7 linked regions of the Cricetulus griseus genome follow. The protein of the gene in region 7 purifies or fractionates together with the protein of the main gene of each other region. This does not show direct contact. Links are inferred from orthologs where the notes say so. Each region holds a gene or a part of one and is shown on either strand. Other genes may lie near its edges.

Region 1 (4,378 bases), on a different chromosome or scaffold from region 7:
ACCATTTCTGGTTCCATGTCTTTATTAGCAACCACACACTGGCCATAGATGAGATCTCCAACCTATAAGACAGAAAAGCAGAAAAGTTCCCTTCATCCAGAAATCCTTTTTTTTTTTTTTTTTTTTTTGGTTTTTTGAGACAGGGTTTCTCTGTGGCTTTGGAGGCTGTCCTGGAACTAGATCTTGTAGACCAGGCTGGTCTCGAACTCAGAGATCTGCCTGCTGCTGCCTCCCAAGTGCTGGGATAAAAGGTGTGCACCAGTACCATCCAGCTCTAGATTTAAAATGTTACAAAACTGAACTTTAAAATGATGAAGCTGAGGAAACAGAATGAATTTCAACATTAAAAATCCCCACTGTTGAGAGCTGGAGAGATGGCTCACGGGTTAAGAGTACTTGATGCTCTTGCAAAGGACCCAGGTTTGGTTCCTAGCACCCTCCTAGCAACTCACAACCATTCATAACTTAAGTTTCAGGGGACCCGACCTTCCTGCCTGACCTCCACAAGCATCAGTCATATAGAGGGCAAATACATACATAGAGCCAAAACACCCTCGATATGCATACATTAATAATATTTAAGTACCCACCATTTTGGGTGACTACAAAACTTAGAGGGAATGAATCATAAGACACTTTATGCCTTTCAAGAACATGTGATCTTCTACAGGGCAACAAGAATGAATAAACTCATGACAAGTTCAAGAATAAATCCAGTACCATGGTAAAGATACAGGAAAAGTGATGATGATGAATGACTTTACATAGTCGTGCTTAGCCTGGATCTCAATGGATGGATGTCTGTCTCATAGGCTGAGAGACTGCAATCCAGACAGAAGAGCACCATTACTAAAGACCCAAAGGAACCAAGTTCAGTGGTGTTGTGAAACTTAAGCATATTAGCATGAAGTGCTAATATGAGGGAAGACCCCTGGGGCACAATGCCAATGAATTCTCTATGATTTGAACATTTTTTTTCCTGTTAAGAAATGGAATATGGGAGCTGGAGAGATAGCTCAGTGGTTAAGAGCACTGGTTGCTCTTCTAGAGGACCTGGGTTCAATTCCCAGCAACCACATAGTGGCTCAAAACCATCTATAGTGGGATCTGATGCTGTGTTCTGGCATAAAGTCAATAGAGCATTCACATATACTTAAATCTTTTTTTAAAAAAATCCACACATATAAAACCTTTAAAAAGGGAATGTCAACATGAGGATATTAACAGATGGAAGCTGGAATGTTAATGAGATTGCTGCCCAGTTTTGTCAAAAATGAGCAAATGCTTGAACTCATAGACACAAAGGGATAAGGCATGCAAAAGACAAGAGATGGAACAAATAAGATCAAATGACTCAAGACCTGTGAGAGTTGAAAGAAAAGTAGCACAGATGCCATCAAATTTCTGGCTCACATGTATCCTCAGGAAGGATACAGCTAAACCAACCAGAAATCCTGTAGTAACAAGATCACTCTTCTGTCAGCTCCAAGGATTCAGAGCCAAGATGAAGAGATAGATGACTGACAGTACCAGTGTCCCTTAGACTAGGGACACTTTCCTTGTGATATGGATATGAACCTCACAGGTAACAAGGGGAAGCAAACATAACCCTTCAACCTGGGAGAGAAGAACCAAGAACACAGCACTGGTTCTGGAGCTGCAGCGCCTAAGGAACTATCTTGGAGAATCTGAAGGATAGTTTATGCTTTGGAGACAAATCAGGAAGTCCTCTGGGCAGCTAAATTTCTGGGGAGTGGCTATTTTTGCCTTATTGTTGAAACCAAAGGCTCCCATCATTACCTGCACATTCGGTCTGTTTCTTTTAGTTGCTCCTTCAAATGCCAGGTAAGACAAAGAAGCTGGCTCACTCCCTCCAACATCAACTTTGAATATATCTCCAGATTTAGCAATCACTATGCCAATCACGTGGTCTCCTTTCACGGGTACGTACTGCAAAACATAATGAAAGAACAACCATAAAAGACTACTGTAACATATATGCAGTAAGTTTTAGCAAGGTTGCTCAGGATGGGTCTCAAACAATCCTCCCAACTCATATTCCTCAGGTAGCTGGGACTACAAAACCGGGCCGCACCAATCCAACTTTGTTGTCTCTAATCCGTAGTTGACCTGAGTCAGGTTTCATACTTCAGCATCTTTTATACATCCGGCGGCACAAGAATCCTTACAGTCAAGGAAACCCACCCATTAGACACTTCTACATGAAAGCTCTTACTCTACGAATAATTTAACTCCCTGTTATTTAGACTCACTGAAACTGGGACTCCACATGGCACGCCTGCGGCTTCCTACTTTCTAGCCCCTTTCTCCTTTCTCCCTTCTCAAGCTGTGTTTCTACTGTGGTTCCTCTAAAGAAGATGCAGAGGGGACCTAGAAGCCACCGCGGCTCTAGGCTGAGCTCATCCTCTCCTCCCCGCTGCAGGGAGTCTTCCCAGAACTGGGATTCCACTATCGCAGCAGCACGGCCTCTCCAACGTCCGCTCACCCGCTTCTGTTGAGAATCCACCCAGTAAACGCCACCGCCGCCTCCTCCGGGCTCCTTGTGGCGCAGGCGGCCACACTTGGTGACCAGCAGGCGGTCCCCGCAGCGTCGTAAACCCGGGCCACACACGACGCGCAGCCGCGGGCGCGCCCCCGAATTCAGACGTAAAGGCTGCTCCCCGGCGCCGCCAAGGCCGTCTACGTCCTCGTGCTCCGGCAGCACCAGCTCCTCCCCAGGGAGAACCACCTGATTCAGCACGTTGTGCGCTACCCGCGCCCGGCAGCCGGCCACCGATTCTTTCCCAACCGACAGTACTTCAGCCATAGCAGGAGTCGTCGCAGCTTCCGGCATTTTACTTCCGCTTCCGCATCCAAGAGCCCGCCCTCCAGGGTTATCCCTTTCCGGTTTTTGTGGGCTTTCTGAAATAGACTTCAGACCGCCAACCAGTCACATCCTCTCTTCGGTACCCCCTCCTCCCCACCCCCAAACACCCGTATCTGAGCTATCAGCCCACCCACCCTGTGGTTTCTCCGCGGGTGGGTGAAAGAGACGCCCAGCTGGAGTTCATTTGGAGCCCTCACATCCCGTGTCAGGTCTTTCGGCTTAGTCTCTACGGGTGCTGGAACTAAGGGCCCCTGGGTATTGGGTTTGGAGGCTTTACTTTCCATTCAGCCTACAGAAAGGTGGCTGAAATTTTAACTGGGAAAAAAGGGTTTGCAAAGTATGACTTGTTTGGACGTTGCTACCAATTTAAATTCTGTAAAATATAAAGAATGGGAGAACAACAATAGGGGCTGGAGAGATGACTTCATGGTTTAGGAGCACTGGCTGTTCTTCCACAGGACCCAGCACCCACAAGGCAGCTCACAGCTGCCTGTAACCCCAGTTCCAGGGGATCTAACACCCTCACACCGATACACATGCAGACAAAATACCAATGCATATGAAATAAAAATCAATTATTAAAAAGAAAGAACAACGGAAGTCTTACTCATTTGTCTCCTTTGCTGTGTTTTCAGCTGTAGTTCCTATCATTTGTACATAATAGATGTAACACTTATGTGTATTACACTCTAGGGCTCCCCCCCCGCCACCCCCACTCCACCCCCGCGCGCAACACATATCACACCTTTTCACCTACTTGAGTTATCTCTACATGGCTTAGGAAAATCAGTAACTCAGAACAATTCTTGCCCCTATTTCTTTTGGAGCACACCAATTGAAGGAAAGCCCGAATGGGGGGGCAGGGGGCTCTCTCCTGGACCGGATTAGAAGCACACACTCCTCAAACACCTATTTCACAGAGAGATCCTTTATTAATCAGGGAAGAAAAATTAAAGTGGCTGCTTTCTGACTCGGGCAGAAAAACAGCAAGTAACTTTGAAGGTGTAGTTTTTAAAAAAAAAAAAAAAAAAAGATTTTATCTATTATGTATACAACATTCTGCTTCCATGTATATCTGCACACCAGAAGAGGGCACCAGATCTCATAACGGATGGTTGTGAGCCACCATGTGGTTGCTGGGAATTGAACTCAGGACCTCTGGAAGAACAGTCAGTACTCTTAACCTCTGAGCCATCTCTCCAGCCTGAAGGTGTAGTTTTTAAGAAGGGAAAAAAGAGGTCTGCATCAAAATAGACTAGGATGCTAGCATATATTTAGATTGGGCATGTTAATTAGGTGAACCAAAGGGGGATTTTGATAGCTGGACTTTGGTAGTCAGTCTCAGAAGGAGAAAGTAGCCAAATGAAGGAATAGACCTTGGGAGTAGCTTTAGGGATGTGATCTAACGGTTTTTAGCAAGGCAGAAGGAATGGGGTGGGGGGAGGATAAAGCTTGCCACAGCCATGCTTGCCATACTTGAGATGGTCAGAG
Region 2 (4,237 bases), about 54 Mb from region 7:
TAAGACAGCCACCCAAGACTGAAGGCTCCAGTTTGAAATTAACAGGGAAGGGAACAGTTTTCTGGGCATCATGACAGCATGGACCCTGCCCTTCTCAGCAGAGATTGAAGCCCCTTGGAATGTGGGCTTCTGGATGCTGGGCTAGCTCCTGGTGACCTGCATAGCTATTACCCATGTCGTTATAACAATTCTGCTACTTGGATGTGGTTCAAGGCAATTGGTGTTACTACGTCAACATACTCAGGAAGATTCCAGACTAGAAGTAGCTCTCGAAAGTGACCCCTCCATCTACCTTGCTTTGACATGCCCAGTACCTCAGCATTTCTTAGAGGAGAACAGAGACGTAAGTGTCCTCTTACTAGACAGGACCAGACCCGAGAAATGGCAAGTAAAACTAGATGGCAATTGTCATTTCTCTTTCCAATGCTCCTGAGCAGTTTTGCATCCCATTCAACAGATGTGGCTCAATAAGGTCACAGATGGGGCACAGGCTTTCTGTGCCATGGGTTTGTAAATGGAAAGGGCAAAGGGCTAAACAGGAAATGTGCTGGGGACTAGTTTCAGTTCTGAATGGTCAGACTGAGCAACTGATGGCTGACTTCTCAATTTTATCAATGAAGACCAGATAAAAAATTAAGCTAAAAGGCAAAGCCATAGAAAAGGAGCAGAGATACAGAAAAGATCAGCTGAGCCATGTCTTCCTCTCACAGCCAAGAACAAAGAAATGAAATAGCTTAGACAGAGCCCCAAGAGGGAAGCCTCTTTGAAAGCCTAATCAATAGCCATGACCTAGTTTGGCTATGAGGTTACAATTAAAACACTCAGTAGATAGACCAGAGAAAGCCCACTGGGCTTATAAGGCCCTGGAGCGGCCTGCCACCTGAGTTATTACCATCCTCTAATAGGGCCAGAGGTAGATATGTAACCTAAGGCATGCCACACAGAGGGTGACCAGCTCTTTTTGTAACGAACCACTAGCAGCCCAGACCAATTCTCTCAGTGGAATTGGGTCTTTGATCTAATTAAGATTTGGTAGGCTAGCCCAACATGGTGGCACACACACCTTTACTCCCAGAACCTAGGAGGCGGAGGCACAGGCAGAGGCAGGTAAATCTCTGAGTTCCAGGACACCCAAGGGTATATAGTGATACCCTGTTTCAAAAAAAGCAAAGAGTTGTTAGGCCATGATGTGATAGAGGGGATGAAGAAGCCATGCAAAATTATAGGTACAGGGTTTTTTTTTTGGGGGGGGAGATTTCACCAAGATGGAAGGGAAGCTAGACAAGTGGGTACTGAGAAAGGATACAGTCTGACAAAGAAAAGCAGACAAATCACTAGAGATAGTCACTGATCATTATGGTTATTTGAGAGAAGGTACTCTGAAGCTGAATGGAAGCTTTCCAATTCATACAACGAACCCACTTTTTCTTCAGGTCATTTAATATTTCCTCAATCTGAGGAATTTAAATCTCAACAGTTTTTAATGCAGTCACCATGAAGACCAGTGATGTGGAATGAATGGTTTAGGGCAAAGCCACATTTCTGACAAAAAAATAAATAACTGAAAGGGAAGCAACATTCTCCCCACCCCCAGGGCTGACCACTTTATTTTAAGATTCCCTCCAACACCATTCGGCATATACCTCTCTATTCTTAACTTTGAACTGAAAACTAAAGAGTTGTGGGTTTGGATCCTGTTGACTAAATATTGGCATTTCTACTCTATAAGGAGCACAGAAGATAACAGTATGTCATGATTTAAAAAAGACCATGGCCTTCAGTTGCCTTATAGAGTTTAAAAGGTAACAGGTTGCCTTAATCTGATGGCTACATTACAAAACCAACCACAGGGAGAAGGTTTGCAGGATAACAGGTTGTTGCCAGATTAACACTCTTCACCTCTCTCTCTTTAATGTCCGTAAGTAGGATGGACTACACATCATGGTATTCATTATAGCTACCCAGGAATCTAAGCTAAAACGGGAAAATCAACAACTATACCACTGTCTACCAGTCTTTGGAAAAAAAAAGAAAACCTTCCCAGCCAGGTGGTGATGGGGCATGCCTTCTGCCAAGGCAGAAGGACTGATATGAGTTCCACACCAGCATGGAATACAAAGACCCCGCCCCCACGCCCCAAAACAGAAGAAACGAAGGGCTGAGAATAGGGCTGTGGTAGAGCGCCTGCCAAGCATGCACAAGAACACGAGGTTCGATTCTCAGCACCGCCAAAAGAGAACCAAATCACTCCCCCACTCTTCTCTGTGTGAGTGTGGTTTTTCTTCAGCCTGGGTCTTCATAGCTCAGGCTGGTCTTAAACTCCGAGTCTCCTGTCTCCATTTCCCAAGTACTGGGATTACAGGAGCCAGCCCCCAAGGCCTTGTGCGTGCTAGGCAAGCCCTCTGCTACTGAGGGGCACTCCCTCCTGTCCCCGCTTTTAGGGGGTGGCAGGGATGCGGGCTGCTGTTAGCTCCGCCTCGGATGCACGGCCTCTGTCTCTCTCGGTGCAATGTCTGCAGGCGTCCATCCACGGGCCCGGTTCCGGTTCCAGGATCTCGGGCGCAGGCCCCGGGCGCGCGGAGTCCTCACGGACCTCCGTTCACTCGGCGGCAGCCCCGGGAGACTCCCGTCGCTCCCTGATGGGCTAGGACTCTCCCTCCCGCAGGCCGCACGAGGCCTCGGGGCGTGGTCTCGGCCGCGCAGCCGCCCGCACCGCTTCCCTGAGCGCTAAAGCCTGCACCAGCCGCCGCCGCGCTACCTGCACTCCATGAACGATGTAGACCTTCTCAGCCTCGCTCAGCGCAACCGACGCCATGCTGCCCGCTCGCCGTCAGCGCGGCGGGCGCGTCATCAGCCTGCGCCCTCCCCGCCGTGCCTGCGCGTCATCAGCCGCGCGGCGGCCGCTCCCGCAGCCGCGGCTGCCGCCACCGCCTGGAGCTCCATGGGCCTCTCCTCCGCGCGCCGCCCGGTGTGAGGCCGAGTCCGGCAAGCCGCGGCGCCCGGTGCCCGAGCCATCGCGGACGCTGGAGGCCGGGCCCCGGGGTAGGGGCAGCAGCTGGCGGCGCGGGACTGCGAGCTGCCTTCAGAGTGACGGTCAGTGCGGAGAGGAAGCCCCGGGAGGAGGGAGGCGCGGGCCCCCAGCCGGGACTCCGGGAGAAGCGCGCACCCCAGCGCGCTGGGGCCGGAGTCGAAGTGGCCGCACGCGGGACGCCCCAGGAAGGCGGAAGTCGTGCCACCCTGAGGGACCATCTCCTGAAGCCTCTTAGTGGGTCCCCAGGATAGCTGAAGAGACCATGGATGCCTCGTTAGGTCCCTCTGGTCCCGGAGGGTCTGAGCCGGGAGTGAGGCTCCGGCTTCTCAGTTTGCTCACCGCTCCCACCCTCCACTCCAGGGATCGATCGATCTTTCTCTGTCCCCTCTTGCTCTATCCTTTCCTCCCTTACTGCTCATCAGCAGGTAGTGGCCCAGGGCTCGTGTGGTTGCTGGAGTATTGTACCAGGCAGAGTAGGGAGAGCGCCTTGCGCTTCGGAATGCCTGGATGGAGGGGACTGCTGAGAAAGAGAACCGTCCCTGGGAGATTATGGGACTTGGATATGCAGAAAGGATGCCTGCAAGGTGAAGCTGGGGTCGTCGTGAGAGCCCTTTAAGGAAGAGAGATAGTCTAGGAGCCGAATTTTAGAGAAACTGTGTGGGAAAATGGGGGGAGTTGGCCGAAACTTCACTTACCTGATGTTCTATTTTTGAGGAAAGTAACCCTTCACAGCTAAACACCAAGAAGTAAAAGGTGCGGGCCACGCACACACCTTTAATCCCAGTGCTTGGGAGGCAGTGGTAGGCGGATCTCTGTGAGTTTGAGGTTAGCCTGCTCCACATAGTGAGTTCCAGGACAACCAGAGCTGCATAGTGAGACCCTGTCTCCAAGAACAATAACAAAAAAAAAAAAAAAAAAAGAAGAAGAAGAAGATGAAGAAGAAGAAAAAAGGGCGTTTCTTCGCTATGGCTTCACAGCTAACAAAACAAATAAACAGAACTTCTGACCAAAGACTCTTCCAGGGCAGAAGGGAAGGCTCCTGTAAGCATAGCCGCAGAACATGGTGATTAGAGATGTAATAGTGGATTAGTGGCTGTAGTGGGGTTGCCAGGTGAGTTGAAAAAGCAGCAGGAAGTGCCTGACTATGTTCCTAGGTACTGAATTGTTAACTGCTGAGCCCTCACTGATAGACTAGGCGTGCACTTC
Region 3 (3,159 bases), on a different chromosome or scaffold from region 7:
GAGTTGTCCTAGGTAGCCTGGCTTCCTGAAAAGCCAGGGCACCTTTCTCTTTAGGACTGAGCTGTCCTATTGCAGCTCTAAGCAGCCTGACTTCCTGATAAGTCAGGACACCTTTGTAGCTCCAGAGCTGTAACATACCCACTTACATTTTAGTGCCAAAACCCAGCACTCACATTTGCTTACAGTCTCTGTATAGCCTTGGCTTTGTAGACCAGGCTGGCCTTGAACTCAAAGTGCTGGGATGAAAGGCATGTGCCACCATACCCTGCATCCAAATCAGCCATTGCTCAGAGATGTCCTTGCCTAGTAGTATACACTAAGCCCTAGGCTCTTTCCCTCACTCTGGCAGGCCAGTTTAATGGTAAGGAGGGAGCTTGCTGCCAAGCCAGATGACCTCAGTTTCATCTCTGGAACCCACATTGTAGGACAGAATGGACAAGTGCCCCTGACTTCCACATGTATGCACTCACACCCATACACAAAAATAAATTAATACACACAAAATAAGTGGGGTAAAAGTATGTTAATTGAAAAAATGTCAATTTGGGCACCATTTCTGGTTTTGTGTAGTGAGATAGTCTCACTGTGTAGTCCAGGTTGGCCTCACCTCTGCCTCTGCCTCCATGTGGAAAACATAGGCCTGCACTGCCATGCTGGACCAGGGTACCCATTTTTAAACAGTCATAAGAAAAACAAAGCATAGGAACTGGCACTCTACATTGAGGACTTGTATCATGTTCCTTTTAACTTTAAATTATTCAAAAGTTAATACATCACCACATCAATTATACAAGGAAATGGCTTGGCTTTTCACAGCTGCCTTTCATTTTGGTGGTGGTGTGTGTGTGTGGGGGGGTTGTCAAAGCATCCAAAAGCACTGTGGTATATAGATTCCTTGAACCAGTCACCAGAATGACACACAGTGGGAATCAGGTTCCAACAAAGGTTGCTGGCTCATTTTATTCTTCTATCCACCTCACTGTTGGCCTAACTCTACCACCTCTTCTCCAACCACATACTTGTGCATTAAAGGGATGGAGTAGAAGTCCAAACAGACCATCCCCATTGGCCCTGCATGTCTCTCTTTTTCTTTGGTTTTCTTTTTTTCTGGGGTGGGGGAAGAGCTGGGAATTGAACCTGGGGCCTTGCACACATTAGGAAAGTGTCCTACCCCTGAGCGCTACCCCCAGTCCGTGTTTTCTAGTGGAACAGTTCCATGGGGTGCTGGGTGGTATGACTGGAAGACATGGATTCTCCAAGTTACTCCAAGATATATCATCAGACTGGGACAGCGTGCTCTGAAAGGGACCCAAGTGTCCAAAGCCACCAGAACACAAGAGAACAGGCCTGGCTCTGCTGTGCCGCTGCAGGTGAATAATGTGTTTGTCAGATCCTCCCCGGGCCACATGTAGTGAAGAGTCACCATACGGCAGACTCTTCCTTTCCAGAGAGGCTGCTCCTGAGAGGCACACAGTCCCATCCTTCAGCACCTGGCCTCACCCCTCCTGTTCCAAAAGCCTTTGGCGTGTTTCTAGCATGATCTCCTCCATTATTTCTGGCTTTAAGATATCTTTGATCTGAAGAAAAAAGAAAAAGGTATGTGTTCATTCAGAAATAACCATAAGCAGAACATCAAGTCAACTAAATGAGGCAAGAAGTCTGGCTAAAATACAGTGTAGTCTGCACTCCATCAGAGACTGAGCAAGGACACTGTCTCAGCTCCATACCCAGCTTAGAAAGCAAGCCAGCAAGGTGCCTGGGACAGCTGACAAAGACACTGTTCAGTCACTCATCAGAAGACTGTTCTTTCAGAAAACTCTGGTTCAGTTCCCAGCACCCACATGGCAGTTGACGGTAACTCTGGTTCCAGGGGATCTGATGTTCTCTTCTGGCCTCCCCAGGCATGCATGTGGCGCACAGACTCATACACACGAAGGCAAAACACCTATACACATAAGACATTTTTTTTTTTTAATTTGAGAAAAAAAAATCTATTGACTTGAAAAAAAAATCAAGAAGATGGCTGAATTTTTAGAACAGGTAAGATGTAGTATGGAAAGCTATTGTCATAGAAAAATCCTACCTACAACCCTATCCTACATCAAATCCATAGCAATAGGGGATATACCTCAGGGAACATGGCAGGGACTCATTGGAAGGAAAGCAGAATGCTGAAGAACCACAGGACCAGCTTACACAAGGGAAGGGAGTCTGGGTGGAGTACCTGATGTGCAAGGGAGGCCTCATAGCAGTACAGGATGCTGGTGTCATACAGCATCATTCTCTGAGTTACGAGCAAGACTACGCAGTTCCGAAGCCGGGAGATCACCTCTCGATCACTAAGGGCTACCGGCTACACAGGGACACAAAGAGGAAGGAAAAAAGAAATACAAACAGGATCCAAATAAGCAAACAATCCCAAAAGCCACAGAAGAGAGAAATCACACTCATTTCTACCATGCACTCCATGCCACCCTGCTGGGACAATCTTTATGTACACCGAGTGAAGATGTGTCTGTCCTTCTTTTCGTGCCGAAGGCACCTTCTGATTGGATTAATAAAGAGCTGAATGGCTACTGGAGAGGGTAGGTGGAAGATATAAAAACTCTGGGAAAGGGGCTGGGCAGTGGTGGCGCATGCCTTTAATCCCAGCACTCAGGAGGCAGAGGCAGGCGGATCTCTGTGAGTTCCAGGCCAGCCTGGTCTACAGAATGAGTTCCAGGACAGGCTACAAAGCCACAGAGAAACCTTGTCTCAAAAAACCCAAATTTAAAAAAAGAAACTCTGGGAAAGAATCTGAGGGGCAAGAGATTCACCAGCCAGACAAGGACATGTGCTACATGGCAAAATGTAGATTAATATAAACAGATTAAGTTATAAGACGTTGTTGGGAACAAGCCTAAGCTAAGGCCAAGCTTCCACAATTAATAAAAAGTCTGTGTTTTCAGAAGCTGGCAGTCCAAAACAAGACCATTTAACAAGCTGTATTTTTTTTTGTTTATAATGTGTACACATATAAAAGTTCACGTGTGCATATGCCCATGAGTGCACATGCATAGGAAGGTCAGAAGACAACCTTCTGTCTCATCCTAGGAATGCCATCCACCTCCTTTGAGACAGAGTGTCACTGGACTAGATCTGACCAATAAGACTAGGTTG
Region 4 (4,353 bases), on a different chromosome or scaffold from region 7:
TTTTAGCAGTACTGAGGACTGAACTTTGTCATCAGGCATGCTAGCAAGGCAAGTGCTCTACCACTGAGCTTTATTCCTAGCTCTTTTGAGTCTCAGTGTCTCACCAAGTTACCAGCCTGAGTTTGCAGTGCTCCTACTTCAGTCAAGAAGCTGGGATACCCTCCTTTAAAGGCCATTCCTTTTGAAAGGTATTTCCAGGCAACTTAACACCAATCACATCTAAGAAAAACTTACTTTTAAAATAATTCATTAGAATTCCCTAAACATATGAACTGAACACCGAGTTTCCCAAATGTAAGGGAGGGAGGGATATTGGCTCAAGTCTATAGAATCCGGATTTTCCTTTTCCATAGAGCTCAGCATTTGGGAGGCTGAAGCAAAATATCAAGCTTGAGGCCAGCCTGGGTTACACACACAGACACACACACAGACACACACACAGACACACACACACACACACACACACACACACACACACACACACACACACACACAGTCACAAGGGAAAAGAAGAGATTCCACAACAGTGAATGATCTATCTCATTTTCCTACCAAAAGAGGTCTGTAGACACATTGCTATCAGTTTCTTCCTCACTTAAATCTCTCCAGGCTGGTCACTCTCATGCTCTTCCTAGCAAGCCCTTGATAGGTCCAGCCTAAATTTGGCTTTGTCTCAGGGTCTTTTGCCCTTTTTGACTCTCAGGCTGAAGTACCCTGCCTCTACCTATCAGGTGTTTCCTCAAATTTGAACTTACCTGTAAGTCTCCTCAGGTGACTAAATTAAAAAATTAACCCTTCCCACAACTCTTATACCCTGTCTCCCTATCTCTTTTTTTCTACCTGAGTTAGCAATATGTGGTACAATACTTCCTGGCACTGCTGGCTAGGAACAGAGAGCCACAAAATCACAATCCAGCCATACAATTATGAGAAGGAAATAATCAAGATTCTACAAGCGACTTTGCTGGTAAGATGGGCAGCAGGCTGACTGTATTAAATGCATTTTCAGCTTAAAATATTTTCAACTTTCAATCAGTTTACGTTAGGAAACACTTGTGTATCTTTACTTAAGTATTTAGATATCTAGAAATGACTCCACAGAAACAAATATTTTTGTCCTCAGCATACGACATAAGTACTTAAAGTTTGTCGAAAAATATATAGTCCCTACTTCCCCAGCCACAAAACCGTAAAATCCTTGACAAGTACCAAAACAGGTATGTATGGTCTTTTCCTTTCTAGCAGATCACTAACATCATATCAATGTTAACTTTTCAATGTTGGTGCTATTTTTCCAGATACCTGTGACTTCTAAATGTTTTTCTAGTGTCTTCTAATGTGACAATGAAGTATATACCCTAGTTTAAGCAATTCAAATGCTGCTACACTAGGAAAGCACCATTAAGTGAGGACAAAGTATGTGTTCTAACTAAAATTAAAAGGATGGAAATTGGGGGCTGAAGAGATGGCTCAGAGGTTAAGAGCACCAACTGCTCTTCCGGAGGTCCTGAGTTCAATTCCCAGCATCCACATGATGGCTCAGAACCATCCTCTATGAGATCTGGTGCCCTCTTCTGATTTGCAGATATACATGGAAGCAGAATGTTGTATACATAATTAATAAAATCCTTTAAAAAAAGATGAAAATTAATAAACAAAAAGGATGATAAGTTTTGTCATCTAGGAAGTCATTGTTCCTAGGAGAAACTACAGAAGACTACAGTCCCTAAATACAACACTCTGAGCCAAACTACCTATAATCCAATGGTAGGAAGCCATCCCGGATTGATGTCCCTTAATTTCTTATGTTATGTTGGACTACTTACCTTCCTAATAGAGCCACTAGGTGTGTTTAAGTGCTTTGACTTTCAAGAAAATGGGAGGTGAGGGGACACAGTGCTACTAGATAAATGCAAAGCAACGCTCCTGCTTCCCAAACGCGGTGACACAACCTGCTTCTCTCACAGCCTCCCTTCCCCGCTCACTTGACCGGTATTTCGCATACAAAACTCAAGTGTTCAAGAGTGCTTCGTGGGAAACTGCTTGCCCATTTCAACCCGGTGTGAACGAACATTCCGGTGCCCGGAGCTGCCCGGGGCTCTACTTTCCCAAGCCTCTCAGTCCCAGGATCAGATCCTGACTCCACCTCGCCTGGGGCCTGCTCCAGACCAGTTCTCCGGCCGAGGAAGCAGTCTTCCCGAGTCCAGATGCTCGGTGGGGAAGGCCAGGGCGCACCTCCCCGGGGCAGGTGCGGGCAGGAGCGCCGGCGGGAGCAGCTGTCGGCTCCCAGCAGCTGTTAGCCGGGGCACCCCGAGGCTGCGCGGGCGGCCGGCCCGCCGGCCGGCCCCGAGGAGCGGGCAGCGGAAGGCGAGCCCTCCGGCCTGACACTGCCCACCCCGCCTCCCGCCTCCTCTCCTCGGCTTCCCCCCGCGATGCCACGGGGGCGAAGGCCGGGGGCTGCCCTCGGCCGGGACGTGCCCGGCCCGCGGCGGCCCTCGCACTAGAGGAAGCTCCTGCCGACCCCGCACCTGCCCTGTCCACACGTCTGACGCCCCCAGCCGGCCGCAGCCGCTGCCGGGCAGCCTCAAGTGTGTCCATGCGGCCAGCTCGGGCCGGAACGGCGGGGACGCAACGGTGAGCGCCAGGCCACGGCGGCTCGGGGCGCCACGGCGGGGCCCGGGCGCGGGATGGCCGCGGGCAGGGGAGACACACCGAGCCACTGGTTACCTGCGGTCCGGGACAGGAGTCTCTCAGAACCCAAGTCAATCCTCAGCCTCAACAACACAAGATGGCCGACACGTCGCCACGCACGTCACGTGACCCCGCGCGCCGCCCCGCCCCCTGGCCCGCCTACGTCCCCGCCTCCCTCCCTCCCCGCACTCCAGCTTCCCACGACATCTTTCCCTTCCTCTGCGGACCGCCCCTCCGGCCGGGCACGCCCCTTCCCGAGACCCGGATGCAGGGCTGGGAGAGGGCGGAGCAGCGGCTGCGCAGGCGCACACTGGGGCCTTTGGCTAAAGCTCCAATCGGCCCTAGAGTTGAGCTGGTGGCCTGAGCTGGAACCCGCCCAGCCAGAGGCCCTTGTGACTCACTTCCAGTGCACCCAATCCAGTGCCCCTTTGCAGTACAAGAATCTCCACATCACTTGGGAGCTGGATTTCCAAGCTGCAACTTTTCCATAGCTTTTGGCCTAGCATTGTCCTGCCAGTTTGCCCATCATGGAGCAAATGGCGAGGCTGAAATTCAAAGCAGTTTCCCTTCTGGTAGAAATGGAAATTCATTTTAAAGTGTTGGAATGTGACAGCTGGAAAGTGTTTTAAAGTTCTGACTCCCTCCTACTCCATGCCGGCCTACCACCCCTTTATATCCCGTGCTCCGGTTTTAGGGCTGCTAGCTAAAGGATAGGAAACTCAGCAATACAGAAGACAGGAAATTATCGGCTGTCTTTCTGGAACCCATGTTTACCTGGACATACTACTAGTTGCTAAACCTGCTAGAGCTACCATCTCAAGTCATCATGGTCTTTCTGGCGCCATTAGTCTTTTCCTGCCCTGGATACCGCCTTTACTTCTTGGGATTAAAACAGGGCTTTACACTACCAGTGAACTACAACCTCCAGTCCTTTTCAACATAGCTCTTCCCATCAACTTTTTCCTTTTTTTACAAATATACTCACATGGCTTTACCTTAAAATTAAATGTTGATAACTGGAGTTTCAGAGCTCAGTGATAGAATGAATACATAGCCTGTTGGGAACCCTGGGTTCAATACCTGGAAACTTATACACACATGCCAACCTCCCTCTCTGACTCCCTCCCTGAGTCTTGATTCCCTTTCAAAGTCAAACTATATAAAAGGGTATTAAATTCAGAAGAGTAATGATTAATCTTGACTGTCAACTTGATGGGATTTGGAGTCACCATGGAAACAAATCTGGGCAAATTTGTGAGGAACTACCTAGATTATGTTAATTGATGCGGGAAAACCCACAGTAGGTAAAGTGGGAAATACCATTGCATGGGCTGGGGTCCTGAACTGAGTAAAAAGGAGAAAGCAAGCTGTACAGAAGCATTCAAAGAATTCATTATACTCAGCTTCCTAACCTTGGATGCAATGTAACTGGCCACATCAACCTCCTGCCATCATGACTCCCCAGCCAAGGTGGACTATACTCTTGAACTGTGAGCCAAAATAAGCTTCTCTCTCTCTCTCTCTCTCTCTCTCTCTCTCTCTCTCTCTCTCTCTCTCTCTCTCTCTCCTTCCCTTCCTCCCTCCCTCCCTCTCTGTGGTTTTCAAGACAGGGTTTTTCTGTGTAACAACCTGGGATGTCCTAGAACTTGTTTTATAAACCAG
Region 5 (3,661 bases), on a different chromosome or scaffold from region 7:
TGAGATTGATGACTGACTTATATGCCACCCGATAGCCCTCATCCAGCAGCTGGTGGAAGTAGAAGCACACACCCACAACTAATCACTGAACTGAACTGGAATCCAATAGCAGAGGATGAGTGATGAGCAAAGGGGTCAAGACCAGGCTGGTGAACCCCACAGAAATAGCTGACCTGAACATCGGGGAGCTCTTGGTTCCCAGACTGATAGCTGGAATACCAGCATGGAACTGATCCAGACCCCAGGAACATGGGTTTCTGTGAGGAAATCTCGGAAATCTACGGGACCTCCTGTGGTAGTTCAGTACTTATCCCTAGCATAGGTGTGGATTTTGGGAGCCCATTCTACATAGAGGGATACTCCCTGAGCCAAGACACACGGGGGGTGGGGTGGGGGTGGGCCACGAGAGACTCTGATGACACCCTATGGAAGGCCTCACCCTCCAGGGGGAGCAGAAAGGATATGTGATAGATAGGGTTTTAGTTGGGGGGTGGGTTGTAGGGGAGGGAGAGGAACTGGGATTGACATGTAAAACAATCTTGGTTCTAATTCAAATTAAAAAAGAAAAAAAATAATTATAAATGTATTATAAATATACATTTATGAAACATGATTCAGAATTTCAATGAAAATATGAATGCAAAAGAAACAATCATGAAACTGAATTTTAAGTGAAAACTGCAGGAAAGTAGCAGATATGAATTCTACAATCAAGAAAAAAAAAAAAAAAAACAGTCTGAGGAAGGAAAATGCCATGGGCAAGATGGGGACACCATGACCTGGAGGCTGAAGCAGGAAGGCTGAGTTTAGAGACTAGCATGGGCTGCAGAGTAAGACCTTGCTTCAAAGACAGAGTACAGTCCTGTATCTACTAAAGAACAAAGATCTGACTTCCTTAATGAAAAATCTTCTGGATAAGAATACTTCAGACCCCAGACCGCTTCACTGCTGAAAATATGGTCAGCACTCCAGAAGAAACAATGGAGTATTATCAACTTTATACAAACTGGGAAAACAAGGAGGTATGAATACTTAGCAACTGACCGATGGCCCAAGTCAAAGACACTTAAACAATATACTTTAACAATTTTTATGAATATAGCCACAAATTATTAATAAAAAATCATGGAACTGGCACATGTCTACAATCTCAGCACTCAGTAGGCCCAGGCCGGAAGACTGGGAGTTCAAGACCTCTTTCTCTCCTGACACACACAAAAAAATAGATGGCTTTCATGTTCAGAAATTAAAGTAATTCCTGACATTTTAACAGAAAACAGTAATCATCTTTTTAAAATTAAACAGCAAAAATATAACTTGCCCTTAGTTAACTAGGGAAAAGAAACTAACCCTGCTGATGAGACGCATCTGCCAAAACACATAGCAGGCTGTACCTGGAATGGACAAGCCAGTGCTTTTCTGAGACATCTGCTCTCAGCACTTCTATTCAACCCATCAAATAACACAAGGAAAGGAAATGGAGGCTGAGGTTCTGGGATCCCCTGGGCTGCCTGTGCCCTCCAGCACAGAATTAGCTCCTATACCATGCACTTACCTCACAGCTTCCCTCCATGTCACAGGAATAAGATGGCGAAGTTATTTATGCCTTATTTACCCAGGAAAGGAAACCCAAAAGTTATTTTCTGAGACCAGTATGTTGTATTAGAAAAAAACAAAAAAACAAAAAAACATATCCCAAATGAGGCAGAACTGTCTTACCCTTTGGTAAATAACTAGAAGACTGTGCAAACTCAACCAACACATAAAATGACTGTTCCTCATCAATACTAGTCCCCTCTGCATACTCCTGGTCACACTGTCCCTAGGCTCATCATCTGTGCTAATCCCCCTGCACACTCCTGTTTACACTGTTCCTTGGCTCCTGTCTGTGCAGTCCCCTGAATACTTTTCTTCACACTATCCTTGGCCTTGTCATCTGTGTTAGCCCCCTGCACACTCCTATGTATACTACCTCCAGGTTTCATATGCTACTCCCTCCCCCTAAGCCCACTCCTATGCATATTATCTTTTGGAAACTTTTCATCTTGATTAATAGTTAGAGCCTGTAAGAAGCACACAGATTAAAAAAGTCACTTTTCTTGGGAATCTGGACTTTCTCTTCCCAGAAGAATATGTCACCATCCCAAAGGACTAGATAAAGTAAAAAAAATAAAATAAAAAGAACAACAACACAGCTAACTAAACTGCAAATTAACAAGGGGAAAAGGGAAAGACAAATATGTATCTAAAAACAGTAGGTAAAATGTTCAGTCATTTTAACAAAAGTGTAAGTAAATAATATACCATACTGAGGTAAGAAAATGAACAAGCTAAAATGCAACACAACTTGCAGGATTTAGACAAAAAGATGAGGTGAATCTACCACTGTCCAACTCAAGACTCTTTCATGTATTAGACAGGTTTGGAAGCAGAACAAAAACTACCTTAGGTATTACCCAGCTTCTGTCCCTCCAGGCAGTTGGCTCTGGGAAAAACAACTCTCTTAAGCTCCAATTCCTCAACAGCAAAGGACACAATGATGCTGGGTATGCTTGGGTTTCTGTATTTATTAACTAAGGGAAATGAAATGCTTAGTTTAGGATAGACTACCAATATAGCAATGTTTGTGACATGAACGGTATTCAGTGTAGTACTGATACAAACAAACACACATCCCTTGGCCTACCGAAGGACAGTTACAGAAACAAAGCTGGTGAGGCCTGACGGTATAATAACCCATCTTTGGGCCTTTGTTTGAGTCCATGTGGAACACACACAGATTAATAGTTTTTAGAAGAAAAGGAAGCACTGCACTAGAAGGATGAGTCAGCTTTACCGGGCTTCCCAAACCACGGTTACAAACCCCAGTAAACCTACTCTTTCTCCTTGAACTCTGGCAAATCCAGGTACCAGTGCTCATCGCTGATCATCTTCTTTTCCTCCTCTTCTAGCTGTTTCTTGGTTTCCGAGTCCAGGCCTCTTTGCATGAACTGCCAAACAAAACCGAACTGTGTCAGTGTCCTAGCTCATCTGTACCATGGGTACACAGGCCACCTAGCAGACTAGTTCAGTAACAGTCCTCTGAATATCAATGAACCTGGACTTGTTTTAGCTTTCCAGATTCCCTTGTGGTTCAAGGTTGCCCCTACATTCCTGGTGTAATCCTAACTGCCCTATATCTTCCATTTTTCCTCACCAGAAACTTTAAGGTACACAGTCACACATATCTACCTTGGATAGAGAGAACAGAACACAATATGGCTGTGAATAAAGCACATCTAGGTTTAGGAAGAAGTTCAATTTTGACTTCACAGTCTTAGGACAGACTTTAGATCTTGCTATTTCATTCCCCTCACTCAAAACTGAGGGTCCAGAGCAGACTCTGGGAAACCACAGCCCTCAGGGTGGCTCTCTATGGTCTACAGTTTACCGTAGCAGTCATGCTGATTCAGTTCTGGGCAGTAATGGCAGAGCTCAGTAGTACATGGGTCCTCACTGGCCTACAAGTCTAGAACATTTACTATCTTGTCCCTTACAAAGCACAAAGTCCTGTCCTAAGGTTCAGAAAGGAACCCAAAATGCACCATCTTTACCCAAACCGTCACCCTGGCAAACCTTCTACCCACATCCTTCTGTCCCACCAGAAATGACTCCATCTTAA
Region 6 (4,312 bases), on a different chromosome or scaffold from region 7:
TATGTATAACTCAATGTGTAAACAAAGACAACCAATAAGGGGTTGGCAAAATTAAGTTCCTGTGATGTTCTCTGTTATAATCTAACAAGCAGAAAGCTTGAGATAAGGGGGGCATTATTCTATTTCTGAATATAGGGAATCACTGCCTAAATCATCAGCACTTCACTACAAAATAGTTCGATTTAAACTTACTCAAGTATTTGCTAAATTACAAGAGCATTTAACTCACCAACATATCCTCTATCAGGGGCATCTAGTGGTGGTGCTGCAAATTCCTACAAAGCAAATACATGTATTCCAGTGAAAGAAACAAGAATAGACTATGAAGACATTCTAGCAATTAGTTACAGAGGCTGTACCAAAAGACCACATCAGCCAATTATCCCATATTTAGCATCTACAGTGCTTGGGGATCACGGCAGAACCCGAAGGATACTGGCACTGCCCTTCCCAACGATTCACAGGAGAGTTAAAGAAGTGCAGTGCAACCAGACTGCTGTTCATAAAGGTGATGAGGACTAGTGGGCTTCTGCCCCACCTCTGTGTACTTGTTTGGGTGCCAAGAATCTGAGTTTAATAACAAATTAATATGGCTAGACTCAGTAACTAGTAGTAACTAGCCCAGCTCAGCTGTAGACCCACAATTTCTAGGCTGAGAGACTTGGGGCACATTATTTGATCTTATAGGTTTCTCTGCTGTCACAGGGACAGATGTCTTATAAGTTTCTCTGCTGTCACAGGGACAGATGAACGGTACCTGCCTACTCCTAGGGCCTACTCCCAAGGCCCAATGAGACAGTGCCATTAAGTTCTCAGTATAAATCTGGCAAGGAGTAGGTGTTCTAATAGTTATCACTTCAGCTTGACAGTACCACTAAAGAAAGAAGAGTCCCTCAGAGTAAAGTCAGAAAGCACAAGTTTTGTCATCAGACTCTATTGTGAGCCTCACACACCTGGGGAGGCTACTGAGCTTCATGGGCTGAGCAGGGTGGAGACTGGTAATTCTGTAAAGTGCCTGATAAGGTGCCCCAACAGCAGGTGGCCAGCAGAAAGCTACTGTCCTTTGTGCCTAACAATTACAAACTACCGATGGCTAAAAGGTATCACTAACAATCTCATTTCAGAAATGATATTGCCAAAATCCGAAAAGTATGAGGAGTAGCTAAGAATCAGTTGTAGGGGGCAGGGATTACAATTCTAAATTCTGACCCCCAGTTAAATTACAACCTCGTAAGCATGAAGCTAATTTGGAGCTCTGCTATCAACAGACAGACAGTGAACTTACTGCTTTAATTCCACAAATGACTGTGGTGTTCCCCAGCTTCACTAGAGCAGAACCGTCAGCTGTACTGATTGAACCTGGAAAGGTAAGCATGGTATTTATTCAAATTCCTTTAAAAAGCAAAGGAAAAAAATACACAAAGTATCCTACAAAGCAATTTAAATGCTTTGGTTTGTATGGTTATCTAGGTAGACCTTTCCAGCTGTCTCTGGAATTTTTGACAGGTTCAGGTCAGTGATTTGAAAATGGTATTACTACTTAATATCTTAATTTCTTCTTCCCCCCAATTTGAGCTAATCAGGTTTAGATAAACTACAAAGATGGTGTAATGATAAAAATCTCTTAACATCACCAAATGCCTTAGGCATAATAGAACTGGTTGTAAAAAAAAAAAATGTGGCACACGGGATGGGGGTGGAGTGGGTGGTGTCCCACCAGGCCAAATGAAGTGTATCTTCACCTATGTTAACAGTTGTGGTTCTGAATTCACCAAGTTCTCTTCCATCAGGTCGGCAGTTTTCTTTCTAAATGTTTATAAGGAAATAGGTTACATATGTATTTCACTTATGCAGGGGAAAACACATTAAGCCTCATTAATTTAAGTGAATTGAAAAACTGTGCCTTGAAGCATATTTTTATTAAGGCAGTAGCACACAAATACTCACCAGAAACCTCCTGTAATACTCCAGTGGTTCCACAGTTCTGAAACATGTTAAAAATGTGTTAAAGTGAGTCAGTGCATCCTAGGGCATAAACCCACAACTTAAGAGTGTGTTGCTGAGGCATCGATCTCCACATGCTCAGGTATTAACCATATTTATAAAAAGGTCTCTCCGGGCAGTGGTGGTGCACGCCTTTAATCCCAGCTCTCGGGAGGCAGAGGCAGGTGGATCTCTGTGAGTTCGAGGCCAGCCTGGTCTCCAGAGCGAGTGCCAGGATAGGCTCCAAAGCCACAGAGAAACCCTGTCTGAAAAAAACAAAAATAAACAAAAAAACAAAAACAAAAACAAAAAATTCTTACAGTAGCAACCAGTCTTAATAGGTGAACTAACTGTGCCCCAGTCAGGAGGACCGGAGTCCAAGGCCCTTGACACACTTAGAAGAGGATTAACTTGGGTGGCAGTCATGTCACTCTAGTTCTGAAAGAGGGAATGCAGCCTCTGATGTCAGGCAGTAAGCAGCATTAGCACTACCTCCAACTTTAACGACCACGAGGAGTGTTTTTGCAGCTACGGGAGCTACGTTGTGGACTCATCAACTACACCCCGTCAAAAGTTACAGCAGGTACGTGTGGCTGCACTCGCTGACACACGAGTTGGCGGTTTACACGCGTGAGCAGCCTGGGACTTCATCAGAGCGCCCACAAATGTTTTACCGTGGAGAGTGGGGTGGCGCTCGGTTAAGAGGCCGGGGCCGTCCTGGCTGCGCCGTCCCTCAGCGCCTCCCGTGGGGAGAGCCCTCCCGCCGCCCCACGAGTACTCGGGGTCCCCCGCCCGCCGCCACAGCCGCGCCTTCTGTGCACGCGCACTCACTCACTTGAATCCGGCCGCCATCTTCCTGCCCGCACCGCGCCTGCGCAGCCCGCCGCGCCTGCGCCCTTCCCTCTGCAGGCGTCTGCCGCCCAGGAGGCTTGGAGGACTCCTGGGTTAGAGAAGCCCCTCCCTCCGTGGAGGCTGTTGTGTTCTCAGGGACCCGGCATGAACAGCAGCTCCGACTCGCCCGGGCGACCCACCATCGCCTGGTTAGGTCCAGGCCTCTTGGGGAGGGCCGGGTCGGTACTGTCACAACCGCCGGTGACACCAGCTCCCACCGGCCTGTGCGCACGAGCCCATACACACAATACAAGTACGCGTAATTAGGGAGACTCCAAAACAGTCCATGTCTCCAAGCCTCCTTAGATGGCTGCATGACATGTGTGTGAGGCTGGTAAGTGCCATCAGTTCACAGATGTCCCCTGTGTTTCAGAGACCCGTGCAATACTCTGTGGAGCCGCGCGAGGGTGCTGCCGGTCGAACCCGGGTCTTGCCATGGCTGGGGGCAGCCATTGTCTAGTAAGGCCTCTGGGGGGGAAGGAGAGGAAGCTTATAGGCAAGAGTGGAGATTCAGGATGGTTTAGCTGTCGCTGCAGCTGGCAGGGATCTGTGTGATGCTGGTCTCCACTGTGCAAATGATAATGTTTTAGCATAGCAAATATACGAGACCAATGTAACATAACTTCCACATCTGCCTGTAGGTTCCTGTTGCTGCATTTATAACTGCTACAAAAAATGCCACCATGTCACCAACATGAAGAAGAGAAAATTCTTCCTCAATGGCAAAGTCCAGAAGGAAACTACCCAGATTCTGGGACTCACCTAGCAAAGAGTTGTCTGTTGTGCCTTCCTACAAGGAAGAGAAACTGTAATTTCTACTTGACTTCATTCACTAATGGGTACTTCCCCCCCCCACCCCCCTTCGAGACAGGGTTCCTCTGTGTAGCTTTAGAACCTGTCCTAGAACTCACTCTGTAGACCAGGATGGCCTCAAACTCACAGAGATCTGCCTGCCTCTGCCTACTGAGTGCTGGGATTAAAGGCCTGTGCCACCTCGACTGCCCTCTAATGGGTTCTTTGAGAAGAAAGGGAGTCCTGCAGTGTTGACAGTCACTGAGAGAAGTGCATGGTTGGCAGCTGTGATTGGGAAGAGGGGAAACTTCTGGAAAGACTGAAGTTTTCTAGAAAAGTCCTATGATGAGAACAAGGGACAATCTGAGAGAGAATGGCCTGAGTGACATCTCAGAGGGTTTTGGTAGATGACAGGCACATCTCCCTATGTGAGTGGAGTATGCTGGGCTAGCTAACTCATTTTCAAAAGCAATCTGTAAAAATATTTTTTTCCCTTTAGTGCCTGTGATGATGGATGAAGCCCGGAGCTACCTAGAAAAGAGACAGGTATCACTTTCAATGTTATATCTCTAGGTAAAGCTAAAGGAGGCCAACAGTTGTTGATCCCAGCTAGGTGCACTGTGGAGGCAGGCCAGGCATGCAGCAT
Region 7 (4,423 bases):
CTGTGTGCCAACCCATCTAGTTTTTTGTTTTGTTTTGTTTTGTTTTGTTTTAATGTTTTTGGTGCATAGGATAGAACTTTGTGCTTGCTAGGCAAGAGCTCTACAAACTAAGCTACATCCCCAGTCTTTTTTAAATATTGATAAAAATCAACTCTCGGTAGAACCCTAGATATGCTCTATTCCTTAAAGGATCGTTCATTTGCAGACAATTTCAAGCCACAAAGTGCTGAAGAGAGATATTAAGGGCAGATTAGGACCTAATCAAAGTCATTCCTCTAGTCCCATAGAACCAGAGGCTTTAAAAAGATAGAAAGGGAACTTCGAGGGATTTGTGGACAGTTGTCAAAGCATTTTCTATATAGGGAACAATTTTAGCTACTCACTGTCCTTTGGGCCCTCTGGAACTGACTCCTGTATTAGATGATACATTATCATTATGTGTTATATATAATATATAATTATACATAAATATATAGCTTTTGAGACTCTCCTTGCCTGTGTACCAGCTTTACACTGTTTTCCCATTTGTGCAAGTCCACCTTGAGTTTCACTGTGAGTAACTTGACACAGAGGTACACAGAGGAGGGAATCATGACTCTTTATGCAATTCCCTTAGGGTGAAATGAGAGACTGGACTTGGTTTAATTCAGCAACATTGTTAGCACCCCATGTTTCCAGCCAACTGGAAACTGGGCCAGCCAGCTAACCAGAGCTTGCCAAGCAGTAAATTCCTTAGGTTCAGGCCCTGTGAGTTAGTTACTCACCTGTGAATAGATGGTACTTAAGAACTTGCTTTGGAGTTAACCAGTTTCTAGCTTAACTTTGGTTCTGTCACTTAATAACTAGGTATCCTTGGCCACTTAAGCTCCCTAATGCAGCCTCACAGCCTGTAAAATGGGAATACAAATAAATGCCCACTCCTTTGATTTATGGAAGTTAATTGAGACTCTTGCGTATGAAGCTGCTAACCATAGTTTCAGTAGGCTGAGTGCTTGGAGAAGCGAGGGTGTGTGGTCTTCGAGATACTGTCCTTTTTGTCAAGAGCTATAAGCACAGTACTTAATGATCGTGTCAATAGCAGTTTTAAGAAGTTCTTTGCCAGAGGCTGTCAACGCTATAAAAGTTGTAGAGTGTTTACCCCAGAAGGACTGGTTTTTATTTTATCTGTAGTGTTTGAATGTTTACATGTATTAAAATTTAAAGTAAGTACGTTTTGAAGGGAAAAACATCTTTGGCCAGCCGGGTTACCAGCTTGGCTGGGCCTTTCGATTATTTTAGGTACTGCAAAAGCAAGGAGGAGAAAACTCTAGTTATTACCCCTGTTAATATGGCAGCCCTTCCCACAAGGGCCCGTGGGTAGAAACAAAGTAAAATAATCTTTTCACACGAGACTTTTAGACTAGCTGTCACATCCTACCGTCATGCCCATTGGTCCTTGGGGTCAACAGTTTATCCACACTCTTTCCGGCTCTGGGGCAATTAAGGCTTACAGAGGAATCTAGGCGCAGGCTGGGCTGGGCCAGGCAGACCATCGGCCCCAGCTAGGTCGTTCCCGGTGCCGGGACCGCTCTTACCACTGCCTGCCGGACCAGGCCCGAGGGGCGGGCCCCAAGCCTCGGCCTCGCCTCCCGCTGCCGCCCGCCGCTTCCCGGCCGCCGTGCCGGGCGACGCCGCCAGCATGTTACAGAAGCGGGAGAAGGTGCTGCTGCTGAGGACTTTCCAGGGCCGGACACTGCGGATCGTTCGCGAGCACTACCTGCGGCCTAGCGTGCCCTGCAACAGCCCGCTCTGCCCGCAGCCCGCCGCCTGCCGCAACGGTCAGGGCCGGGAGGGACCGGGGAGGCCGGGGTCCGAGGAGAGGGAGGCCTGGGCCTGACGTAGCGAGGGCTGCCGGGCGCGAGCGAAGGGAGCCGGACCCAAGGAGAGAGGCGAGCTGGGGCCGAAGGAAAGAGAAGGCCGAGGCCCAAAGAGCAAAGGGAACCCGGGCCTGGCGTCATAATGGTGACTGGGCACTAGTGAAGGGAGTGGGGACCTAAGGAGAGAGGAGCCGGGGCCTGAGGAGCTAGGGCGGATTTGGCCTGGCGTCAAGGGCGGAGCCAGAGCGAGCAAACCCAGCCTGGGCTTGGCGGGACCAGGGCAGCCCAGGAGGCGGCCCGGCGGAGCGTTCTCTGCGTGTAAGGCAGTCCCTCCTGCGGGTGGGAAGCAGGCGACACCCGGGTGCAACTCGCGGGACTCATCTACTGCAGTGGCCGGACCAAAAGTAGGGGGCACCGAGAGCGAGCCTGGTGTTCCCTTGGCTCAGAGACTCAGGGTGCTTCGGGTTTTCCAAGGGACCGAAAAGCACCTCCGCCCGCAGCTCGGTGGCAGTGAGATAGCGGAGACCCGCTGGAAAGAGGCTGCTCCCGGCTGACTCCCGAACGTACTGCTGGGCATGTGACATGGCCTGCTCTGCTCCTGCCAGAACGCAGACCCTCCAGCATGACAGCTTCTTCATGGCAGGAGCCTTGGGCTGGGGACCTGATTTCCCTTTTTTCAGGCTGTAGGGTTGCTGTTTGTTACCCCTAGTAGGAGATGAGCATGGGAGGTCTTTTCAGCTTGACGAAACAGCTGCCTATACTACCATACTACCCATTCTTTTTTTTTTTTTTTTTTTTTTTTTTTTTGGTTTTTCGAGACAGGGTTTCTCTGTGTAGCTTTGGAGCCTATCCTGGCACTCGCTCTGGAGACCAGGCTGGCCTCGAACTCACAGAGATCCGCCTGCCTCTGCCTCCCGAGTGCTGGGACTAAAGGCGTGTGCCACCAACACCCGGCTTATACTGCCCATTCTTTCTAGTACATTCTCTTCAACCCTTAAGAGCAGTGGTTCTCAACCTTCCTAATGCTGCAACCCTTTAATACAGTTCCTCATGTTGTGCTGACCCCCTAACCATAAAATTATTTTGTTGCTACTTAATAACTGTAATCTTGCTACTGTTATAAATCGTAATGTAAACATCTGCTATCCGATCATCCCCGGAGTCACAACCCACGAAGGTTGAGAATCGCTCTCTTAGAGCCTTGTAGCCAGCCATGTTCAGAAGCTTCAGAATAACTTTGGAATTTTTAGGTACATACAAGTGGTTAATACACACATATGTGCACTTGTGCATTTACGTGTATGTGCATATATGTGTACATGTGTGTATATGTAGGTATATAATGGATATGTAAATATCCATTAGAATGTTCTTGCATGTCAGTGATGAGTTCATAGAAATTTAGCTTTCTGCCGAGGATGTTTTTAAAATATCAGTCATTCTCTCCGAAGAACTGGCAATAGCATAAACCATGTAGGGTTTCTATTTAATCACAGCTTCAAGAGAGAGAAGGTGGCTGTGAATCTACTCTGAACTTGGAGCCTCTACCAAAGTAGATTTGTCTTGTCTTTTAAAAACTTCAAGGTGAAATTAAGATGAGAAGTTATTTTGCACACCGGGGGCACTGTGACATTGAAATAGTCATAAACCAGGTTTGAAAATGTTACCTAATCGCTTCCACTCTGAATTATGTTTCAGATGGGAAGCTCTTGTCTGCTGAAGTGACTCATTATGTGATCCCAGACTGGAAAGTTGTCCAGGATTACCTTGAGGTCCTTGAATTTCCCGAGTTGAAGGGAATTATTTTCATGCAAACGGCTTGTCAAGCTGTGCAGCATCAGAGAGGCCGGAGGTATCTGGTTTTCATTATTTATTTATTTATTGTGAAAGTTCCCCCACTTCCATTAGAAAAGGTCCTTTGTTGGAGGGGAGGAGGAGGAATTCATTATTTTGTCAGAAAGGATTTTTGAAACTAATTTGGTATTCTCTTTGCTGGTGAGAAATGCAGTAACATTTTATATGTGTGCTTCAACACCTGGCCAAAAGATCTGACTGTAGATCAATAAACTGCAGTGTCCTGGGGATGCAGGTATTTAAGATTCCACGTGAATTGGCTTCTGGTTTACATTTTTATAGGTAGCACAATTGTTTCTTTTTATTTTTGCTAATGTATATTATTTAATCTTCTTATTTATAGATACATTGTTTCAGGAGCATTCTTTTCTCAGTAAAAGAATACTTTTAAATCTTATCTTCCTTTATTGTGGATGCAAATTGTACTTACAGTGATTTATTCAATGAAATTAAAAAAGTAGCTCATTCTTATTTTTAGATTAGTCCTATAACTATCAGCCATAGTAATTGTATTTGCTAAGCAAAACATTTTTAATTGAACCAGTTTAAAATACTTGCCTTGTGCCTAAATGAAAGAAAGGTTGCCCCTTTTTTTCTGTACAAATACCCTAAAATACAGTTTTGCTTCATTTAACATTTGGAAACTTTTATGATCCGAACTTAAGACTATGAGAATAGCATGTTAAATAACACTCCAAGTTACTTAACAAGCA

The links.
Region 1: the proteins of Dis3l (region 7) and Exosc3 purify together in Homo sapiens (affinity purification with mass spectrometry; 6 studies listed by BioGRID and IntAct, counting the BioPlex papers as one, with this or other methods). This does not show direct contact. The link is inferred for Cricetulus griseus from reciprocal best matches to the Homo sapiens genes DIS3L and EXOSC3.
Region 2: the proteins of Dis3l (region 7) and Exosc7 purify together in Homo sapiens (affinity purification with mass spectrometry; 3 studies listed by BioGRID and IntAct, counting the BioPlex papers as one, with this or other methods). This does not show direct contact. The link is inferred for Cricetulus griseus from reciprocal best matches to the Homo sapiens genes DIS3L and EXOSC7.
Region 3: the proteins of Dis3l (region 7) and Exosc2 purify together in Homo sapiens (affinity purification with mass spectrometry; 5 studies listed by BioGRID and IntAct, with this or other methods). This does not show direct contact. The link is inferred for Cricetulus griseus from reciprocal best matches to the Homo sapiens genes DIS3L and EXOSC2.
Region 4: the proteins of Dis3l (region 7) and Gigyf2 purify together in Homo sapiens (affinity purification with mass spectrometry; 3 studies listed by BioGRID and IntAct, with this or other methods). This does not show direct contact. The link is inferred for Cricetulus griseus from reciprocal best matches to the Homo sapiens genes DIS3L and GIGYF2.
Region 5: the proteins of Dis3l (region 7) and Mphosph6 purify together in Homo sapiens (affinity purification with mass spectrometry; 3 studies listed by BioGRID and IntAct, with this or other methods). This does not show direct contact. The link is inferred for Cricetulus griseus from reciprocal best matches to the Homo sapiens genes DIS3L and MPHOSPH6.
Region 6: the proteins of Dis3l (region 7) and Exosc8 purify together in Homo sapiens (affinity purification with mass spectrometry; 4 studies listed by BioGRID and IntAct, counting the BioPlex papers as one, with this or other methods). This does not show direct contact. The link is inferred for Cricetulus griseus from reciprocal best matches to the Homo sapiens genes DIS3L and EXOSC8.

What each region holds. Positions count from the first base shown.
Region 1 is NC_048595.1:98,138,302-98,142,679, reverse strand, and holds the start of Exosc3 (exosome complex component RRP40), read right to left. Parts: upstream 2,864-4,378; 5' UTR 2,855-2,863; coding exon 2,507-2,854; intron 1,951-2,506; coding exon 1,801-1,950; intron 63-1,800; coding exon 1-62. UniProt on the Homo sapiens protein: Non-catalytic component of the RNA exosome complex which has 3'->5' exoribonuclease activity and participates in a multitude of cellular RNA processing and degradation events.
Region 2 is NC_048597.1:230,037,152-230,041,388, reverse strand, and holds the start of Exosc7 (exosome complex component RRP42), read right to left. Parts: upstream 2,876-4,237; 5' UTR 2,816-2,875; coding exon 2,759-2,815; intron 1-2,758. UniProt on the Homo sapiens protein: Non-catalytic component of the RNA exosome complex which has 3'->5' exoribonuclease activity and participates in a multitude of cellular RNA processing and degradation events.
Region 3 is NC_048599.1:143,403,182-143,406,340, reverse strand, and holds the end of Exosc2 (exosome complex component RRP4), read right to left. Parts: intron 2,354-3,159; coding exon 2,225-2,353; intron 1,578-2,224; coding exon 1,497-1,577; 3' UTR 505-1,496; downstream 1-504. UniProt on the Homo sapiens protein: Non-catalytic component of the RNA exosome complex which has 3'->5' exoribonuclease activity and participates in a multitude of cellular RNA processing and degradation events.
Region 4 is NC_048595.1:438,969,146-438,973,498, reverse strand, and holds the start of Gigyf2 (GRB10-interacting GYF protein 2), read right to left. Parts: upstream 2,852-4,353; 5' UTR 2,728-2,851; intron 1-2,727. UniProt on the Homo sapiens protein: Key component of the 4EHP-GYF2 complex, a multiprotein complex that acts as a repressor of translation initiation. In the 4EHP-GYF2 complex, acts as a factor that bridges EIF4E2 to ZFP36/TTP, linking translation repression with mRNA decay.
Region 5 is NC_048596.1:194,428,640-194,432,300, forward strand, and holds part of Mphosph6 (M-phase phosphoprotein 6), read right to left. Parts: intron 2,991-3,661; coding exon 2,878-2,990; intron 1-2,877. UniProt on the Homo sapiens protein: RNA-binding protein that associates with the RNA exosome complex. Involved in the 3'-processing of the 7S pre-RNA to the mature 5.8S rRNA and play a role in recruiting the RNA exosome complex to pre-rRNA; this function may include C1D.
Region 6 is NW_023276806.1:96,562,260-96,566,571, reverse strand, and holds the start of Exosc8 (exosome complex component RRP43), read right to left. Parts: upstream 2,935-4,312; 5' UTR 2,836-2,934; coding exon 2,819-2,835; intron 1,985-2,818; coding exon 1,948-1,984; intron 1,807-1,947; coding exon 1,743-1,806; intron 1,360-1,742; coding exon 1,286-1,359; intron 276-1,285; coding exon 230-275; intron 1-229. Other genes in the region: dolichyl-phosphate beta-glucosyltransferase-like, read left to right, coding at 3,550-3,682, 4,166-4,212. UniProt on the Homo sapiens protein: Non-catalytic component of the RNA exosome complex which has 3'->5' exoribonuclease activity and participates in a multitude of cellular RNA processing and degradation events.
Region 7 is NC_048597.1:175,957,988-175,962,410, reverse strand, and holds the start of Dis3l (DIS3-like exonuclease 1), read left to right. Parts: upstream 1-1,470; 5' UTR 1,471-1,678; coding exon 1,679-1,817; intron 1,818-2,185; exon of another isoform or gene 2,186-2,260; intron 2,261-3,554; coding exon 3,555-3,708; intron 3,709-4,423. UniProt on the Homo sapiens protein: Catalytic component of the RNA exosome complex which has 3'->5' exoribonuclease activity and participates in a multitude of cellular RNA processing and degradation events.